Sus scrofa: one gene and its partner. The protein of the gene in region 1 purifies or fractionates together with the protein of each later gene. This does not show direct contact. Links are inferred from orthologs where the notes say so. Each region holds a gene or a part of one and is shown in the gene's direction. Other genes may lie near its edges.

What was found.
Region 2: the proteins of GGH (region 1) and CANX purify together in Homo sapiens (affinity purification with mass spectrometry; 3 studies listed by BioGRID and IntAct, with this or other methods). This does not show direct contact. The link is inferred for Sus scrofa from reciprocal best matches to the Homo sapiens genes GGH and CANX.

The regions. Positions count from the first base shown.
Region 1 is NC_010446.5:71,017,068-71,020,880, forward strand, and holds the end of GGH (gamma-glutamyl hydrolase), read left to right. Parts: intron 1-873; coding exon 874-1,011; intron 1,012-3,059; coding exon 3,060-3,181; 3' UTR 3,182-3,446; downstream 3,447-3,813. UniProt on the Homo sapiens protein: Hydrolyzes the polyglutamate sidechains of pteroylpolyglutamates. Progressively removes gamma-glutamyl residues from pteroylpoly-gamma-glutamate to yield pteroyl-alpha-glutamate (folic acid) and free glutamate.
Region 2 is NC_010444.4:78,912,810-78,917,213, reverse strand, and holds the start of CANX (calnexin), read left to right. Parts: upstream 1-1,389; 5' UTR 1,390-1,568; intron 1,569-4,404. UniProt on the Homo sapiens protein: Calcium-binding protein that interacts with newly synthesized monoglucosylated glycoproteins in the endoplasmic reticulum. It may act in assisting protein assembly and/or in the retention within the ER of unassembled protein subunits.

The DNA.
Region 1 (3,813 bases):
TAAAAATAAGTGAACAACATAAACAAAAATCTTTTATACCAAATTTAAACTTTTAAAAACTATTTGAAAATTGGCACCATGAAGCCATGAACCATTCCACCAGCTAACAGAGAAACACAGTGTAGGCTGAGACAGACTGGCTTACATAAAAGGACACCAGGAGTTCCCATTGTGCCTCAGTGGAAATGAATCTGACTAACATCCATGAGGATGCAGATTTGATCCCTGGCCCCGTTCAGTGGGTTAAGGGTCCGGTGTTGCTGTGAGCTGTAGTGTAGGCCGAATCAGATATGCACTTGACTTGAACAGGAATATATTCAAAGGCTCAGTTGTTTCTCTACTCTGATCACCTAGTGAAATGAATCATATTTCAAATCATAACAGGTGGAAAGTCAGTGAAATATTGTACTGTGAACTTTCTTGTTGTCTGTGAACTGAAATTCTTTGTGTCTGAATGTGCACAGTTTTACTTTGTCTAAGATTGTGTGTTAGAAAGTAATGCTGGAGTTCCCGTCGTGGCGCAGTGGTTAACGAATCCGACTAAGAACCATGAGGTTGCGGGTTCGATCCCTGCCCTTGCTCAGTGGGTTAACGATCCGGCGTTGCCGTGAGCTGTGGTGTAGGCTGCAGACGCGGCTCGGATCCCGTGTTGCTGTGGCTCTGGCGTAGGCTGGTGGCTACAGCTCCGATTGGACCCCTAGCCTGGGAACCTCCATATGCCGCGGGAGCGGCCCAAGAGATAGCAAAAAGACAAAAAAAAAAAAAAAAAAAAAAGAAAGTAATGCTTTACAAGGGGTGTAAAACATAATTTAATTGTAACATCTTAAACCATTCTTGCTACTTAATACTTAGCAGTCTGTGTTGCTTGTGCAGGATACCAGCATCCAGTGTATGGCGTCCAGTGGCATCCAGAGAAAGCGCCTTATGAGTGGGGGACACTAAAGGGCATTTCCCACGCACCTAACGCTGTGAAGGCTGCATTTTATTTAGCAGAGTTCTTTGTGTCTGAAGGTAATTTTATCACTCTGTTATCACAACAGTGTGGTTTTGAAGCAGATTGCCCTTGTTTGAACTTCCGGGTACTCTTTTTGCTCTATAAATGTTCTGTAGATTTAATTAAAAAAAATTAATTCACGTGAAAGCCCCAGTATTGGGGTATTAGTCATTCAGGTCAAACCAGGATGATTGTTTCAGTTAACAGGATTGTACACTTTAAGGTGGGCTGAATTCTTGAACAACAGCGTAAAGATTGGGTTTTTTCCTCCCTATCTTGAAATTTTTTTTTTTCTCTTCTGTTACTCTTTTTAGGAATAATATTTTTGTTTTTTCCCCCTTTTTTTCTTTTTTGGCCTCTCTGCGGCATGTGGAGTTCCCAGGCCAGGGATCAGATCTGAGCCACAAGCTCCACATAGGCCACAGCTGCAGCAGTGCCAGATCTTTAACCCACTGTGCTGGGCTGGGGATCGAACCTGTGTCCCAGCACTCCCAAAATGCCACTGATCCTGTTGCACCACAGTGGAAACTCTAGGAATAATGCTTTAATTATAACATTCTCTGAGAATTAGTTCTTACTTTTACAAGACAACTTATGTATATATAAGTTGAATATACATTCATCAGTCTGTGATTTTCAGGCTGTCTCTCTGTAGGTATTGGCACATTGGAGAAAGTTAATATGCTTTGCCTGCTTGTTCGTGATGAAAACACAGATGTATTCATGCCATGTTATGTTTGTGGGTAAACTGAGAATTTGGCTCTAGATGCTTAAGTTGTAGTCGAGTTGAGGCCTAGCTCCAGGCACAGCTCGCAGCGGATGGGATGTCACTGAGGCAGAGCGTGGCCGCATGAAGCCTCCGCAAGCACCTTGTCAGCGTCTTCCCTCCAAGCTGTCCCTAGGGTTTTATCAACCCTTCTGCCCACACCTGCGGTAAAGTTCTTCCTCCTGAGTTCACTGTGGTTTAGAATTGTGCTCAATTGAATGGATAATTTCATGACAAAACCCTCATATTAAAAAAAAGAAATTCTCCTGTGTGCAATTTTAGTCCCAAGAAACATTTTCATGGTGCGTGTGTAGTAGTAAACGAGGACAGCAGTGGACATAGCAAACTCTGCACTGTTATCTCGGGTCAAGGCTAAACAGTCTTCATCTCCCAGTATCTCTTTCTAAAATGCTGCAAAGGTCTGTTTTGACTTCGTTTTGACTTTAGGGCAAGGTCTGTGCCCTCCCCCGCCCATATCCAAACCTTCAGCCGCACTGACTTCTTTGTGCCTCTTTGTATTTCCAATTTCTGCCTTTTCTGTGCGAAGTGTCTCACTTCTCCCCCTGCCTCAGCTTTGCTAGTTTCTCCCTCCTCTTTTCTCCTAAAGCATCTCCTTGAGCTTAGTCTATAAAAACGTGGCAGCAGCCAATTCTGTGTGGTACTAGACTCGACTCCCTGAGCGTCAGGACCTTGCCTTGTGGATGTTTCCATCCCCAGGCCCTGCTCAGCCTTGCACACAGTAGGCGCTTAGTAGCTGTTTGAATGAAAGGGGCAGTGAGGAGTTCCCATTGTGGCTCAGCGGTAATGAACCTGACTAGTATCCCTGAGGATGCAAATTTGATCCCTGGCCGCGCTCAGTGGGTTACAGATTCGGCATTGACGTGAGCTGTGGTGTAGGTCACAGATGCAGTATGGATCCCTCATTGCTGTGGTTGTGGCACTGGCTGGCAGTTGTAGCTCTGATTCAACCCCTACCCTGGGAACATCCATGTGCCTCGGGTGTGGCCCTTAAAAAACAAAGAAACAACAACAAAAAAGACAGACAAATAAAAAAAAAAAAAAGAAAAAGAAGTGGGGGAGCAGTGAGTGTCACATGGGGTAGGGCAGGCACGACTGCTGTCAGGAGGTCACTCCTGCAGCCTGGGTGCTGCCTTATTTGGGGGAAAATTCTGTAAACCTTTTGTCCTTTTTTGCTGGTATTGTCCTACTTAATGCTGATTATAGGAAGAATTGTTATCAAGTAGCTTTCAAAAACTTTATACTGTCTTTTTAAAAATTAACACTTTCTTATTCTTGCAGCTCGGAAAAACAGCCATCATTTTGAATCTGATGTTGAAGAGAGCAAAGCACTAATTTATCAGTTCCGTCCGGTTTATACTGGAAATATTTCTTCGTTTCAGCAAAGTTATGTATTTGATTGAAAGCCTTCAATGTGTTAACAAGGAATTTTGATTAATTCCATGATTAAACTGTTATAATGTCTTGCTATTCATGGCAATAATAGAAAGCCACAGAGATTCCTTTTCTATGATGTTATTGGCTCCAATTTTTCGTTTAGTAAATTTGACTATTTATATAACATTTAATAATCAGTGAGACAGATAATCATAATGTATTTCATAGAAAAGATTTATCTGAAGATTAGAAAAAATAAATTTATTGAAAATAGATATTTTTTCTAACTAATTGATTCTGGAAATACATACTTCCTCCTGCCCATCTACCTGCCTCATCCTTGCTGAAGACTTTTTTATTAATTTTTTATGAGTTATAATTAACATACATCATGATCTGAGTTTTAGGTGTATAACATGGTGATTTGATGTTTTTATACTTTACAAAATGACCACCTTAACAGTACGTCCAGTTACTGTCACATGCGAAGCTGTTACAGTATTGTCGACCGTATTTTCTGTGTTTACCTTGCTACCCGTGACTCACTCACTTTTTAACTGGGAGTTTATCTCAATCCCCTTCTTACCTTTCTGCCCTCTGATGACTCCCTGTCTGTTCTGTATATTTATGACTGTTTATGTTGAGGTTTTTGTTTTTT
Region 2 (4,404 bases), on another chromosome or scaffold:
CAGCTGCTGGCCTACACCACCGCCACAGCAACATGGGATTGCAGATGTGATAAATTCATTTGAGTAATAAGAAAAATGAAAAAAACAAAAACAACAACAACAAAAAAACCCATGGGATTGCAGCCACATTTGTGACCTACGCCTAAGCTTAGGATGGATCCTTAACCCACTGAGCAAGGCCAGGGATTGAATCCGCATCCTCACAGACACTATGTTAGGTTCTTAATTCACTAAGCCACAATAGTAACTCCTGGAGGATCTTATTCATGAAATCCGTACTGTTGGAAAATGCTTCAAAGAAGCAAACAACATCCTGTGGCCCTTCAAACTATCTTCTCCTGAAGGGCCCAGATAAATAGATCTAACAGGCTTATTAAATGGATGAACTGAGTTGTCTATGTGATTATTTTTGTAATCTGGGTCAGTAAATAAAGTGACTTCAAATTGTGAAAAAAACAAACACAAAATTCATTCTTCAGAGATTTGGCCTCAGCTTCCTTTTAAGAACATTGTGCTTTAACGGAAAAAAAATCTCTAACAAGATCCTTAGTAGGATCTACAGTCCTGCTCTGTCTCAGGCCCAGAAAACTGAAGATGTGCTAAAAGTTAGTTACAAAATCTGTGGTGTGTTTGAAAATTTTCCATTGCACCATCTTTTTCTCACTCACTGCTGTTAAGTGTGATTGTGCCCTTTTTGTCTTATCTTGCTTTTGGAAACATCACAAATTGAAAGTTGAAGTAACGCTGGATTATAGTATTCTGGGCTATATTTTGACGTTGGGTGATAAGGCGGCCTCAGACTGCTGGGCCCAGAGCAATGACTCTGCAGGAACGGTGGCGCCTGGTGTACAGCGACTCCAGGACAGGCCAAGGGAGCCGTGACTGATTCCATCATATCTGCGCACTCGCTGCACTGGAAACCAGGTCCTTCCCGATGGCTCAATGGACCTCCCACCCATCCTGCCAGCTTCCATTTGCTCTCTCATCGAAGGGAATGAGATGCCAGACCCCGAGGCCCGGGTCCAGGCACCTGAACGGTCGAAACCATAGAAATTAGGATGCAGTGCCGGGCAGCGCGCCCACTAAGGCACCAGAACAACCAGCGCGGGAACGCCTGCCTGGCCAGTCCCGCCCCACGACGCGCGCGCGCGCGCGCGCGCCCCCGCCGATCCCGATGCCGCCGTACACCGCCTCCTTCCATACTGCCCAACCAACAGCCACTTCCTGCCTCACTCCTAACCAATCCCCACACTCCACGAAGAATAGCCCTAGGGGGCGTATGGGAAGGTGCATAGAGCGATGGCCACAATAACCAATTGAATTCAGGATCTTGCGCGAGAGGGCGGGACTTGGCGCTGGTGGTAGCTACTGAGGAGACAGGGGCGGACGCAGGGCCGGGCTTCGTGCGGTGGGGCTCGCTCGCGCGGCGGCTGCAGGAGTCGAGGCCTCTTGGTTCTGCGGCACGTGACGGTCAGGCTCCCTCAGCCGCTGTCTCCACTGCAGCGTGGGGCCAGGTGTGCGGGCGGGAGGAGGCGCGGGCACCACCGGCGGTCCTCCTGAGGCTTGAGGTGAGACAGGGGCCTGCCCGTGTCTTCGGGCCTGTGAGGACCCTCGGGGGCCTGGGTGCGCGGCCTGGCGGCGGAGGTCTCGAGAAGCCGGGCGTGGCCGGGGCTGAGGGGTCCGGCTGAGTTTCGATGGCTCAGGCCCTGGTGGACCCGCCAGACGGGATGGGTTAGGCCTGAACCTGGGCCGCTTGAGTTGCGGAGCCAGGCCCAGGCCGCGCCGCCGGGGTTGGGAGGCGTGGCAGGTGTCCTAGAGCCTTTCTTGACCTCTGGGAAAGCTAACTTCTCTTCATGGTTCTGCTTCTAGGGCTTTCTTATACCTATTGCTGACTGCCTGGGAAGCTGTGAGGTGGGGTAGAGTAACCGGGTAAAGGTCTGGAATAGGATCGGGCCTTGTTGGTACTCTTAGTAGTGGGGAAAGGTGATAATAGGACAGAGAGAGGATATTTAGAATTAGCATTACAGATCTAAAATTTGAAAATTAAAACCGCAAAGTGAAGACTGGACTGTAGCAGCCTGAAGAGTATGGAGAATGTGCTAGAACACGCACTGGTTAAAAAACTTAAGTCCTAACATTTACATCTATTTGGAGATTGGGGGAGTAAGTAATCTCGTCGTAAATTCAGTGGGCTTTTAAAAGCAGGAAAGCACCCAAAAGCTCTCCGTGGGCAGGTCGTTTTATAGTGAAGGAAACTGAGGCCCAGAGCTCAGAAATGATCGGCCCAAGGTCATGCGATTAGTTTTATGATCACGTTGGAATTACAGTTGAAAGCTAGGCAGTTTGTGTGTAGTGGTTAAGACTAAGGCCCTTGTTCAGGTCCTTCATCAGCCATTTGTTGCTATGTGAACCTGGGCAGTTCACTTCGTTTCAGATAATGGATGTAATACCTGATAGAGTTGTTGTTACCATTAAGACGTGTGTAAGAAAGAGCAGGAAAGTTAGATGTACATTTTTAACTGCTTGATAAATGACTGCAGTAAATTATTATGGTGAATGCTGTTGATCCACTACACTAACATCCTAATTAGCTAAGTCCTATTTTCCAGGACCTGAAGTCACATTTATGGAAATAGGAGGAAGAAACTGGACCTAGTGGTTTGACTGCTGATTGAGGGAAGTTAAACTGAGCTGGATATTAATTAAAAGCTTGGGAGGAGAAAGGTGAACCACAGTTAGGTCTCTTTACCTCTAATTTAAGAAATAGAACCTTTTACTTAATTTCTTAATGGGTAGAATGGTGTGGGGAGGTTTTCGTTCTGTTTTGTTTTGTTTTAAGAGGGGAACCCCGTTGATCTTCAAGACTGTTGTGTACCTCACTCTTTTTTCAGTACTGTTGAAGGGTCACTGCTGAGTTGTATATTTGCTGTAGTTAGAGCAGAGGTAAAGCACTGTGTGGGAGTCCTCCTGTGCACCAGTCTGTGTGCACAAGCAAACAAGCCAGGAAACTGGATCATGAGGTGGCTACAGTGAGCTGTGTATTGGAGTAAATGTGTTGCACCGCAGATTTTCTGACCTATCCGATAATGGGTGTCAGCATCCCTTCCTACTTGACTATCTCTCCTTAACAGTTTCAGCTAACACATTATCTTCCAAAGAGTAAACGTTTTGACAGAAGTTGTTGCTGCAGTTTTGGCAATCCTGCTATTGCATCCTTTCAGTTACAGAGTTCACTTTGCCCTGAGAGATAGCTTAAGGGAACGAAGCGACAGTTGGTAAGCATAAATGCAGACTCAAGAGACTTGAATTCCAGGCCCAGCATGGTAACTAGCTTATGAGCTAAGTTGGTTTCTATGTCTTTAAAATTGGAGTGAGGAATCCTCTGACTACCTACCTTACCATTAGGGGGCTTTTTAGGAGGGACAAGTAAGATGGTGAACATGAAACTACTTTGTTTTTTTTTTGTTTGTTTTGTTTTTTGTCTTTTTGCTATTTCTTTGGGCCACTCCCTCGGCATATGGAGGTTCCCAGGCTAGGGGTCTAATCAGAGCTGTAGCCACTGGCCTACGCCAGAGCCACAGCAATGCGGGGCAACGCGGGATCTGAGCCGCGTCTGCAACCTACACCACAGCTCACGGCAACGCCGGATCGTTAACCCACTGAGCAAGGCCAGGGACCGAACCCGCAACCTCATGGTTCCTAGTCGGATTCATTAACCACTGCGCCACGACGGGAACTCCCATGAAACTACTTTGAATGGAATAATGAACTGAACTGTGCAAAGAAGAGCTGGCAGCTCATAACAACTCCTAGAAAATAATAAAAGTGCCTGAACATAGTTATAACCTGTAGACTTACTGTAGAATTGCAGGAAGGTACAGGTTGAATATTTTGTTGCCTAAAACAGATGTACATTTAAATTAATCTTAGCTATGAGCTGTGAAAATTATTTGGAGAATTATGCTTTTTAGAGGATTTAGAATCTTCAGCAGCGTTTGAGTAGCCACCTCTTAAACCTTCTTACTTTATAGGAAAAAACCGCTATGGAAAAATAGATTTTAATGTTCCTGTCAGTGAAAAGCAAACTTCAAAACAGTAAACTAGGAAACTAGGCAGTATATATCTATTTTCAAGTAGATGGGCATTTACAATAAAGACCACTTTGAATTTTATGTACTTTCCCCCCTTTAAGTGCTTTTATGGACATGTAGTAATATCAGACAATACAGATACAGAAAGTAGTCGTAAAATGGTTATCTGTGACTGGAATCAAATTCCTTTTAAATGGTTCCTTTCCAATCTAAGACTTCAAATTTCTTATTGGCCTTAAAACTCAGAATTTTATTTTTTAATTTTTTTGGTGGGTTTTTGGGCTTTTTGTCTTTTTAGGGCCACATGCATGGC